Linked DNA regions of Daphnia pulex. The protein of the gene in region 1 purifies or fractionates together with the protein of each later gene. This does not show direct contact. Links are inferred from orthologs where the notes say so. Each region holds a gene or a part of one and is shown in the gene's direction. Other genes may lie near its edges.

What was found.
Region 2: the proteins of regulator of nonsense transcripts 1-like (region 1) and protein CASC3-like purify together in Homo sapiens (co-immunoprecipitation; 5 studies listed by BioGRID and IntAct, with this or other methods). This does not show direct contact. The link is inferred for Daphnia pulex from reciprocal best matches to the Homo sapiens genes UPF1 and CASC3.
Region 3: the proteins of regulator of nonsense transcripts 1-like (region 1) and 5'-3' exoribonuclease 1-like purify together in Homo sapiens (affinity purification with western blotting; 4 studies listed by BioGRID and IntAct, with this or other methods). This does not show direct contact. The link is inferred for Daphnia pulex from reciprocal best matches to the Homo sapiens genes UPF1 and XRN1.

Annotation. Positions count from the first base shown.
Region 1 is NC_060017.1:7,856,106-7,859,857, reverse strand, and holds the start of regulator of nonsense transcripts 1-like, read left to right. Parts: upstream 1-1,241; 5' UTR 1,242-1,420; coding exon 1,421-1,606; intron 1,607-1,666; coding exon 1,667-1,918; intron 1,919-1,981; coding exon 1,982-2,154; intron 2,155-2,218; coding exon 2,219-2,604; intron 2,605-2,662; coding exon 2,663-2,767; intron 2,768-2,829; coding exon 2,830-2,932; intron 2,933-2,992; coding exon 2,993-3,152; intron 3,153-3,224; coding exon 3,225-3,508; intron 3,509-3,567; coding exon 3,568-3,752. Other genes in the region: uncharacterized protein LOC124197441, read left to right, coding at 1-36, 110-234. UniProt on the Homo sapiens protein: RNA-dependent helicase required for nonsense-mediated decay (NMD) of aberrant mRNAs containing premature stop codons and modulates the expression level of normal mRNAs.
Region 2 is NC_060026.1:13,506,676-13,510,427, forward strand, and holds the start of protein CASC3-like, read left to right. Parts: upstream 1-1,124; 5' UTR 1,125-1,512; intron 1,513-1,528; exon of another isoform or gene 1,529-1,807; 5' UTR 1,808-1,854; coding exon 1,855-1,944; intron 1,945-2,011; coding exon 2,012-3,030; intron 3,031-3,099; coding exon 3,100-3,270; intron 3,271-3,340; coding exon 3,341-3,752. Other genes in the region: beta-1,3-glucan-binding protein-like, read right to left, coding at 256-390, 444-640. UniProt on the Homo sapiens protein: Required for pre-mRNA splicing as component of the spliceosome. Core component of the splicing-dependent multiprotein exon junction complex (EJC) deposited at splice junctions on mRNAs.
Region 3 is NC_060026.1:2,432,302-2,436,053, reverse strand, and holds the start of 5'-3' exoribonuclease 1-like, read left to right. Parts: upstream 1-1,607; 5' UTR 1,608-1,813; coding exon 1,814-1,888; intron 1,889-1,952; coding exon 1,953-2,084; intron 2,085-2,140; coding exon 2,141-2,287; intron 2,288-2,344; coding exon 2,345-2,506; intron 2,507-2,562; coding exon 2,563-2,727; intron 2,728-2,794; coding exon 2,795-2,962; intron 2,963-3,027; coding exon 3,028-3,297; intron 3,298-3,357; coding exon 3,358-3,698; intron 3,699-3,752. Other genes in the region: uncharacterized RNA-binding protein C660.15-like, read right to left, coding at 1-25, 98-241, 311-480, 555-795. UniProt on the Homo sapiens protein: Major 5'-3' exoribonuclease involved in mRNA decay. Required for the 5'-3'-processing of the G4 tetraplex-containing DNA and RNA substrates. The kinetic of hydrolysis is faster for G4 RNA tetraplex than for G4 DNA tetraplex and monomeric RNA tetraplex.

The DNA of each region.
Region 1 (3,752 bases):
CTATCATAACGGTTGAAACCACCTTTGATGCATTGCGTAAGTAATGTTTTAAAATGTAATTTTGTAATTAATGAAAGTAATATTTTGGTTCATTACTTATAATTTTCAGCTGCATTAAATAATTCAAGTCAATCCATCAGGGACGTCGAATTTACTTCCGGTGATTCATCACTAACAACTTCAGTTTTCGTGTTCATCTGTTGTACCCTTACTGTAGTGTGTTTAGGTGAATAATTGTCATAATAAACCAAAAATTTTCAATAAATACTTGATGTATTAACCTTGGTTAACAGGGGCACAAACATATTACCATTTTCTTCGTAATAATTTAATCAAACACAACATTTTCACAAATGGAGATTTTCTTTTTTACAAAGGAAGGTACACAAATTGTATCTTTTCGCTCACTAGGGCCTACTGATTGAGGTTATATTGGAAAGTGCTGTTCTCTGAACTTGACTGTTACTAGGAACGACCGGTAAGTTATTTTTCTTTGCTTTTGCCGCTGCGGCTGCTACGGCACGAGCAGCTTTCTTGCAAGTGTCATACTTCCAAAGCTTTGTTATTCTTTTTGGGGGATTAGTTTGCGACTTGATGCACGATTCGTGGAATGTTTTTCTCTTGAAATTGTTGTCTGCACAAATAACTTTCCCAAATAACGTGTTTTGGCCTCAATACTAAGTCCACTGGCATAATTAGACAGTGACATAGTTAAACACTAACACTATAACGAACTAATATATAAATAAAACACATCACAACTTCAAAACAACCCCCTTTTCTATCACTATTTTTCAAAAAAATTCATATTTCGCAGAACAAACACAAGTCACTCGTAGCAGACAAAAATACATGAGTTGCTGCGTTGCCACGATGGCAACAAATGTTAAAAAAGATGTCGAACAGCCCTATATGTCTACGAGAAATGAAATGTCTTTTTCTCTGAAACCACTGGCTTCCTAATTCTGTGACTCAATTATTATCTGAATCGTGGTTTAAGACCTGTTTCTACTTCATTAATTCTTTTCTGTATAACAATGTAACTATAACCTGCAAGCAATATTTAAATCACGAATGTGAACAATAATAATTTGTGACTGGGCACAAAAAGTACCATAGGAGCACATAATCTGGCGATCCCGAAAATCTTTATCTATAAAGCGTTGTTATTTAGCTTAGATCTAAGTGTGTTTGTTTGTGTGCCACTGTGCCTATCTAATGTGCAACACAACTGGTATTTCATTACATTTTTCAAAAGATTGCGCAAGAGGGCGGTTGCATCAACCATCAAGCCGAGAGATGGCGCTTCGATCGCACTAAAGGAAAAGGGAAAACTCGCACAGCCGTGAAAACACACATGCGAGTTTCGTTCCGTAAGAGATTGTAATTGACGTCATTAATTGCTATACCATTTGGCAAAATGAGTGTGGACACTTTTGGGCCCAATTCGCAAACGCTCACGTTTCTCGACACCGAGGAAAATGATTTACTTGGGGCAGACACTCAGGGAACTGATTTCGATTTTCGCGATTTTACTTTGCCGAGTCAAACCCAGGCTTCACAAATTGATCATGCCAGCCTTCACAAATCAATGGGAAAACATCAGGTAAGAAATCCTGCCTGGTGAAACTTTGAAAACATTTCTGTAATTTGTGGTCATTTTCAGGCGAATGGGCTGGACACGATTGATTCTCAACTTGCTACTGCAATGAAAAATTTGAACGATCTCCAGTTTGAGGAAGAAGATGAAGAGGGCTATTACAGCAAAGATTTGCCACCACATGCATGCAAGTATTGCGGCATCCATGATCCTGGTTGTGTTGTAATGTGTAATATTTGCAAGAAATGGTTTTGCAATGGCAAAGGTAATACTTCTGGCTCTCACATTGTTAATCATCTTGTACGAGCCAAACACAAGGTAAAAATATTTTAAAAATATAAATCTTAATCCTTGTTTATAATCAAACTCTTAATTTTTCAGGAGGTTACATTGCATCGTGATGGACCGTTGGGTGAAACAGTTTTGGAGTGCTATTCTTGTGGAGTCAGAAATGTTTTTGTTTTGGGGTTCATTCCTGCTAAAGCAGATTCAGTTGTTGTGCTGCTGTGTCGCCAACCTTGTGCAGCTCAGTCATCATTGAAAGACATGAACTGGTTAGTTAAATTTACTGTGCTGTTTGTCATGTGTGGTTTTCTACTAACTTCTTCTTGCTAATAGGGACATTGAACAATGGAAACCACTTATAGCTGATCGTTGTTTCCTCAGTTGGCTTGTTCGAAGCCCTTCAGAGGCCGAACAGATGAGAGCTCGTCAATTGACGGCCCAGCAATTGAACCGTTTGGAAGAGATGTGGAAAGAGAAACCTGAGGCTAGTTTTGAAGACCTGGAACGTCCTGGCGTTGACGAAGAACCTCAGCACGTATTGCTGCGATATGAGGATGGCTATCAATATCAGAATATTTTTGGTCCGCTAGTGAAACTTGAAGCAGACTACGACCGACGAGTTAAAGAAGCCCAAACTCAAGACAACGTTCACGTTCGCTGGGATGTCGGTCTTAATAAAAAGACTGTCGCTTACTTTAGTCTTCAAAAGACAGATAGCGGTAATGCCTAATATTTATAGTTCACTAGTGTCCCTTCTCATATTTTTCGTTAATTCAGATATGAAACTGATGCATGGTGACGAATTAAGATTGCGTTACCTTGGGGAACTACACAAACCGTGGACTGGTTTGGGGCACGTGATTAAACTTCCAGACAACTACAGTCAGTCTAATATATAATAGTAATAATAATGATAATATAATATATAAATAACTATATTTTAGGCGAAGAAGTCGGAATTGAATTAAAGAATTCAAACGGAGCTCCTACAGAATGTTCCACAAATTTCGTCGTGGATTTTGTCTGGAAATCAACGTCTTTTGATAGGTAACATCCGATGAGCTCGTATTTCAAAGAGATCTAGTGACTAAGAAACATGTCTTTCAGGATGCAATCGGCCCTGCGGAAATTTGCAGTTGACGAAAGTAGCGTTTCAGCTTACATTTATCATCGTTTGCTCGGTCACGAGGTTGAAGATGTCGTATTCCGCCTACATCTCCCTAAACATTTCTCTGCTCCTGACTTGCCTGAGCTGAATCGATCTCAGGTATAAAATTTAGTTGTTACTTGATAGAACATAGAACATTCATTGCTTATCTCATAATGTTACGCTTTACAGGTTTTTGCTGTAAAACAAGCAGTTCAACGTCCATTGACATTAATTCAAGGACCTCCTGGTACCGGGAAAACGGTTACATCGGCCACCATCGTGTACCATTTGGCTAAACTAGGATCAGGGCCAGTATTAGTTTGCGCTCCGTCCAACATTGCTGTTGACCAATTGACTGAAAAGATTCATCGAACTGGTCTGAAAGTGGTCCGTTTGTGCGCGAAATCCAGAGAGGCCATTGATTCACCCGTCTCGTTCTTGGCCTTGCATAATCAAGTTCGATGTCTTGAAGGGTAAGAATTTACTTTGCGAAAATGTGTCATCGTGGGGCTAAAGTTAACTTCTATTATAGAGCTTCAGAGTTGCGAAAGCTGGTCCAGCTTAAGGAGGAAGTCGGTGAGCTTTCACAGGGAGATGAAAAGCGATACCGCATGTTAAAGCGACAAGCAGAACGAGAGCTACTCGAAGCAGCAGATGTATTAGCGTGCACTTGTGTTGGTGCTGGTGATGTTCGCTTGGCTCGCATTAAGTTTGCAT
Region 2 (3,752 bases), on another chromosome or scaffold:
ATTACCAAATGAATCGAAACTTACCTATCCGCTGAGATAAATTACTGTAAGTTTACACAAAAAGTTTGAAGAAAATCGATGCAGTAGTTTAGATTTCTATAAATTTATTCTGATTCTGAATTAAAGGTTCTGGAAGCCTGGCCCAGAACAGCGTACACTCCCCCCACATCCCTCCCCCTCCTACACACCCAGACACCCGCATTTACTTTAATGCCTTCTGGTAGTACAAGTACTACCCTCAGGGATAATAATTACACATAGCAACCGCCATCGATGTCCACATTGCAGCCTTCCTTATACAAATCAAGTGTGCCATTGTACAGAAAAGCCTCGCCAAAACGATCCGCTGTCAATGTTGGCTTGATGTATAGGATCCCATCTCGAACGTAACTTTAAATTGAAATGAGTTATTTCCATTTTGAAATTCAATTTGAAAATAATACCTGTTTTCGGGTAGATTGTCGTAATATTGGAATTCACTGTTGCCCCCTCGCCATGCTGTAATTAGGTGCTTCCATTTGTTTGTGTCAAGAAATTCAAAATCATCTTGCCAGAGGATTGGTCCGCGCGCTTGGTTGTCAATGCTAGATCCGTGACAAACTGCCAGAGCAAAAAGGGCGATAATAGAGAGCTTCATCATGGCTTTGGCAGTGAACGGTAAGGAGAATATTTATAATTCTGACTGTTACCGGTTAAAGAATGAACGTAACATAGCTTTTATACTTTACCACAAGGACATATAGGATTTGAATCAGAAAATATTTTTTATCAATTCATGACATAAGCAAGACTCATTACACTTTGACCGCAAGATGCTAAATATTTTGACCTTTGAAAATATGGTGTAAAGGATTTTTGTTTGTAACGACGAGTATCCGGGTGGATTCAAGTCGAAATAAAATACAGCTTAGGTTATTCAAACATTTTTAAAACTGAACTATTTTTTTTTTTACTGTTTTACATTTATTCCCAATGTCAATTAAAAAATATTTTTCCTCGTCACCGTGGTATGTTTCTAGTACCGCTATACTTGAACTGAATAAAAAATAATCAATTCAAATGTAGTCAAGCGGACTTGGAAGGAACGTGATCGCGACGTGACAAAAACGTGATTGAAATGTGGAACAGCATTACGTAATAACACAAATTCTGTGTGTGATGTAGTGGTTAATAGACTAATAGTTTCCAGTAAGTAAAGGGGTTCAACGTTCTTTTTTCCCCCGACTCTTGTCTGTTATTTTACTTTGAAACAATATCCGGTAAGCCACCGGAATTGCCAAACAGTTATTGGTACTGTTATTCTGTACTGAAGGTTAAGAACACATATAACACTATAATAAATCCGGCTATATTCATAAGTATGAAATTTAATTGAAAGTACTTTAATTAACATGTTTATACGCTCCGACTCCGAGTAAATAACATAACCTAAATAAGGAGAGAAACACTGCGAGGCAACGATAGCGTTATCAGCCTACAGCTATCGACGAAAGAGGATACAAAAAAAGAAAGGTAAAATATTTACTTTTTTGTTTTTTTCTGAAAAGGGCCAACCACCCAACAACTTGGGTTGGTTGTTGGTATGCTCCGAATGTCCGCAGTCCTCCGCACCTTGATTTTCTATAACAAGCCAGTGATTGTGTTGTAAGGTCGATCTGGCAATGTTTTTCCCAGCCCCGTATTACTTTTAGGCGACTTTCATCTGTAATCTACACTTTCTAATCTATTTCGTCAAGCAATTACTTTTTAAAGCTATATTACTTATGACTGTAGAAAAATTTCACTATATTTAGTGCTCAACTCTTAGGATTTGGGTGGGGCTTTCAGTATAAACAAACAATTCAACCGGAAAACATGGCCGACGACGACAGCAGGCGTGGTGTAACCAGTGTGGCAGATGCCGACTCGGCTGAGCAAAGCACTAACAGCGGTGACAATCCACAGGTGAAAATAGTTGTGTTAATTTGACAACCAAAACAATGTCCAATAATATTTCCCATTGTCTGTTTAGGCTGAATCAAAAGCGGTGACAGATGACGTTGCAGTTGCCAGTCAACCCACTGAGGAGACACCAGAAGACAAGACGATTCCAGATGCCCCCAAAGCTTCTGCAGAGGTGATCACGTCTGCCACAAGAGATTCAGAAGAAACCAAAAATCGGTTGGCCAAGGCCAGAGAAGAGCTTAACAAAGCAAGAGAGGAATCGGCTAGAGCTAGGGATGAAGTTGAAAAAGCAAAAAAAGATCTTGCTGTGGCTAAGCAGGACACCTCAGCAACAATCCAAGTTGCAGTTGAAAAGCCATCAGCAGAAGTCAATGTTGCTGCTTCAGAATCCACCCCGAAAGTCGAAACAGAAATAGAAAAGCCTAGTAAAGCGGAAGAAGCTCCAGCTGTCACTGAACATGTTGAGAACAGCAAGAAAGAGGAAAAACCAGAGATACAACCAGAAACCCCTAAAGAAGAAAAGCTGGTACCCGAAGATTCCAAAAACTCAAATCAAAATTGTGAAGCTACTGAACCAAACGAGGAAGTTGGAGAAGAAAAACCTGTCACAGCCCATGAATCTCAGTCAGCAGTAGAAACTAAAACAGTCGAAGAGGAAGCTAAGGTAGAAGACACAGTAGTGACTGCTGACAATTCAAATGCCACCAAGGAAATTCAAGTAGAGAGCAACAAAGAGGTGGAAACACCAGTTGGAGCAACAGAGGAAGTGCAAGAAGAGTCTCATGTGGAAGAAAAACAACCTGAAAGCAGTAAAGACGAAGAAGGTGAGATAGTTGAAGGTGAAAACGAAGAAGGTGAGCTAGTTGAAGATGAAGAAGGCGAAGAAGTTGAAGGAGAACATGAAGAAGAAGAGGTTGTAGAAGGTGAACGGGAAGAAGGCGATGGAGAAGAAAGTGACGACGAAGATGCTCCAGCCAAGCCGTTAGATGATGATGAAGACCGTCGAAACCCTCAATATATTCCAAAAAGAGGTGGCTTTTATGAACACGATGACCGAAATCGTGAAGAAGTTGAAGAGGCAGCTGCGTAATTATAACAAGTTTCCCCTTTAACTTGTTTCATTTAAAATAATATTATTTTTTAACATTTTTGCAGTGAAGAGCCTGTAGCCGGAGTAGAGGTGGAAAAGCCGAAGAAGACGAGAAGTGAAGCCATCGATCGTTGGGGTCATGATATGTTTGACCCAAATCAGCAAGTGCCCAAGAGTGATCAAGAGTTGGTTGATCTCTATGGATACGACATTCGCCAGGAAGAAGGAGCTCCGAGGTATAATGCACGTCTATTGAGTTAGCAAGCACTTGTTTTTACTAACCGTCTGGGGAATCTATTTTTACAGGGCGCGCCGTCGCAGACGTTATGGTCGTGGCCCAAACAAGTACGATCGTACATGGGAAGATGAAGATGCTTATTCTCGGCCTCGCGGACGTGGTGGTGTTGCCTCAAGAGGTGGTCCCTCAGAACGTGGCTCTGGATTTGAACGCAATCCCGATTCCCGTCCGCGCACGCAGCGCCAAGAAATGCCCAAAAAGGATGAATTCCCCGCATTATCGGATGGCAAACAGGAGCCCAAGGCCCAGGGAGAGACTGCCCCAAAGCAATCTTCCCAATCCAATTGGAGAGAAGGTGAAAGAGGAATTGGAATGACTGGAGGCAACGAACGTCGCGGCGGTGGTAACAGCAACAATAGCAATAACAGTAAGGCGAACGCTGTTTCTTATCGACGTGGAGGAGGCGGACGAACATTCGAA
Region 3 (3,752 bases), on another chromosome or scaffold:
TGCACGGGACCTGCGGGGTGCCACCCTGTTTTAATGAAGGGACAAAGTCAGTCAGATTTCGTCCGGAATTGAATTAAAGGCGAGAATGAGATCTCACCGCTTTCGAGTTGGGAATTTTCACGTCACACCATCGGCCGTCGATAAGGTGCCGCTGAGAAAGGACGCGGACTTGAGAATCGTAATTGGCGAATCGTATGAAGCCGAAACCTTTGCTCTGGCCAGTTTTTGCATCCTTCTTGACCTGTCAACATGTAAACATTGGGTAAGAGAGTGAACTCTTTTTGTTTACAGGAGTGGTCTTGAATCGTACCTGTGCCATCAAAAGTTCACCAAAGTTTTCAAAATACACCCTCAAGTCCTGCTCGGATGTTTTCCATGGCAATCCAAGCACAATGAGGTCAGAGCACTTGAGCCTCATTTCCATCCGTTTGGTTTTGGCTGTGGAGTTTTCTGGATGGTCATCTGACTTTCGTTTGTTTTCTGTTTTGAAATGCACACAAGAAACCGTCTTAGTCTAGTTGAAAAACCAAACAAAGTTTGACATGCATCATTACCTTTGGGGAAAACACATATGTAGACGTGGTTCCCCCAGCCATCCTCTGGCGGCTGGAACCTTCCTTCTAGAAGTCTGACACCTCTCATTGAGCGAGATTCTGGGGCTCTGTACTTGAGGCCCGAAACACCTGGAAATTGGGCAGCCAAGGTGCTGAGCAATAGCGCACTGTCATCCTCAGTGGGTAATTCTATGGGCTCCTCAGTCTCATCCTCAGCAACTTGAATGTAGCTGCAGCTCATTTTCGGGCGACTAAATAAACTGACGAGATACTCACGACTTTTACAACAACCAATCGTACGGGCATATGATCATCGCAAACGGGGAATGAATGCTATCGTTTCCATCGACGCCGACTCTAGCTGTACACAACTGGGACCAGGAAGGAGGGGGGGGGGGAGAGAAGAAGCCGATTTTTTTTTTACACTCGGAAAGAAACACACACACAACACTCTCAATTCCACACTTTGCACACCCTCTAATTACAAAACCTGACTCTAGAGTTCATCACATTCAACCATTTACAGCCAGATTCTCTCTCAGGCATCAAACTTTTGCACGGCCAACCCAACACATCCATCCATTCCATACGAAAGTTAAGGTAAAGCAGTCGACGCCATTCTGGATTTTTTTCCCTTCCCCAACCCCCTAGGACCCGGAACAAAAACGTCACAGCCAAAACTCATTGTCACTATGTTATTATTTTGACATTTGAAGACATTGTCGCTGCTGGAAGGCTGAGCTTAGCATAAATATTCCGATTATTTCAAACTCACTGCCAATTCCTATCGGATCATCCCATTTTTAATATCAAAATAGAAGAAACGATTGTAAATAAAGTCGAGGGTCATTCTCATTTGCTGATGCAGCGCAATAGATTTTAGAAAATGACATTTTACATTCTTGATGCGTTTTCAATTTCACTGCAAAATTCGGAATATCTTCTAATCAAAGAACTTTTTTTTTATTATTTTATCTAACGGTAAAATAAAAAAGAAGAGCTTAAAAAATAAACAAATAAATAACCGGTCGGAATCCTATGAGAAAATGTTGCAATGTCGCTTTTGGCTGGTTTTGCATTGTCTCGGTGTTTGTATGGTTGTATGCTAAATAAAAGCTCATATCGTAGGCTCGTAGCTCATCACTTATAGCCGCCGTAAAACTCACTACGAGAACTTGTCCGAGATATATAAAGTTATAAAGATTGCATTGTGTTGATTGACATATTAATTTCTCAGTCGTTTCTTACAAATTTGCAATATGGGTGTCCCCAAGTTTTACCGGTGGATCAGCGAACGCTATCCTTGCCTAAGTGAAACAGTAAAAGAATATCAGGTATGCTTAAGATTTAAATTAGCAATATAAATGTGTTGTATTTCATAAATTTCTGAATGATTAGATACCTGAATTTGACAATTTATACCTGGACATGAATGGAATTATTCACAACTGCTCCCACCCCAACGACGAAGATGTTCACTTCAGAATCTCTGAAGAAAAAATTGTTTCTGACATATTTCACTATTTGGAGGTAAGTTACTGACAGTAGTTTTGTGTGACAACCTGTTAAACTTTATTTTCATGCAGGTCCTGTTTCGCCTCATTAGACCCCAAAAGGTCTTCTTCATGGCAATTGATGGAGTTGCCCCTCGTGCCAAAATGAACCAGCAGCGTGGTAGAAGGTTCCGCTCAGCTAAGGAAGCTGAGGATAAAGAAAAAGAAGCTCTGAGAAAGGTATATAAATTGATCAATCATCTATGAACAATGTTTTAACAAGTTGATCTAATTTAGGGTGAGGTTTTGCCAGAAGAGAAAAGATTTGACTCCAATTGCATCACTCCTGGAACTGAATTCATGGACAATCTGCAAAAACAGTTGCAATTTTTTGTCACCAATAAAGTATCTACTGATCCTCTGTGGCAAAATACGCAAGTCATTTTGTCTGGACATCAGGTAATTTAGTCAACCATTTACACAACATGAAATCTTGCTCAACTCACTTTTCACAGGTTCCTGGAGAAGGTGAGCACAAGATTATGGAGTTTATTCGATTTCAAAGAAGTCAACCAGACTACAACGCCGAGACTCGTCACTGTCTTTATGGGTTAGATGCTGATCTCATGATGTTGGGTTTGTGCTCTCACGAACCATATTTCTCCTTGCTCCGTGAAGAAGTACGAAGGTCTGCTTTTTGTTTTAAAACGAGTCGAGAACTAATTTTTTGTTGTTGCACCGAAATAGGTTAGATTTGGTGGAAAGAAAAATGAAAAGAGGATTACGACTCCTGAGGAGACTACATTTCATTTACTGCATTTGTCACTATTCCGTGAATATTTGGATCTTGAATTTGCCTCTGTGAAGCCTAAATTGAAATTTCCCTACGACTTGGAGCATATTATTGATGACTGGGTAAGCTATAGTTTAAACCCATTTAAAAAAATTCACGCATAATTTAAGTGAAATTTTCCTTGTAGGTCTTGATGGGATTTTTGGTTGGAAACGATTTCATTCCTAATCTTCCACATTTCCATATCAACAAAGGCGCATTACCGCTACTCTACTCGGCTTACATGGAAGTTCTACCCACTCTGGATGGGTATATTAACGAGAACGGTCAGCTGAACTTGCCACGGTTCGAAAAGTTTATGGAACGTCTAGCGCTCATAGACTACGAAAATTTTAATGACACCTTCGCTGATGTCAAATGGCTGGAGAGTCGACACGGTCGCAAGAAACTAGTCGAGGTAGCCGCATCTTAGATTAATTTTAGCATCTTCGATTGCATTCCTTTTTTCTATTTTTAGTACGAGTTTGAAAAAAAACCGCCTACTGTACGACCCTCTGATACTGCCAGCTTTTTGCTTGCCAAGGCTGCTGAAGTTGACGATCTCTTGAGAGAAGATAGCGCCGATTCTGATGAGATTGTTGTTGACAAGCTTGTCGACGCCTCAGCTTGTATCACGGAAAGCGGAGAAGAAACGGAACCTGATATTGACGAGGAAACCAATGATGAGGAAGGAGAAAGTTACGTTTCCGACGATGACGAGTACACGTCGGCCGACGAAGACAAGCAATTTCAGCTGGAATTCAAAGCCCACAAGAGGAATTATTACATGGAAAAAATGGAATACAGCGAAGTCGACAGGTAAATTGTATTTCTTTAAATGTCGAATAACAATGTTGACATTAAATTGACAAC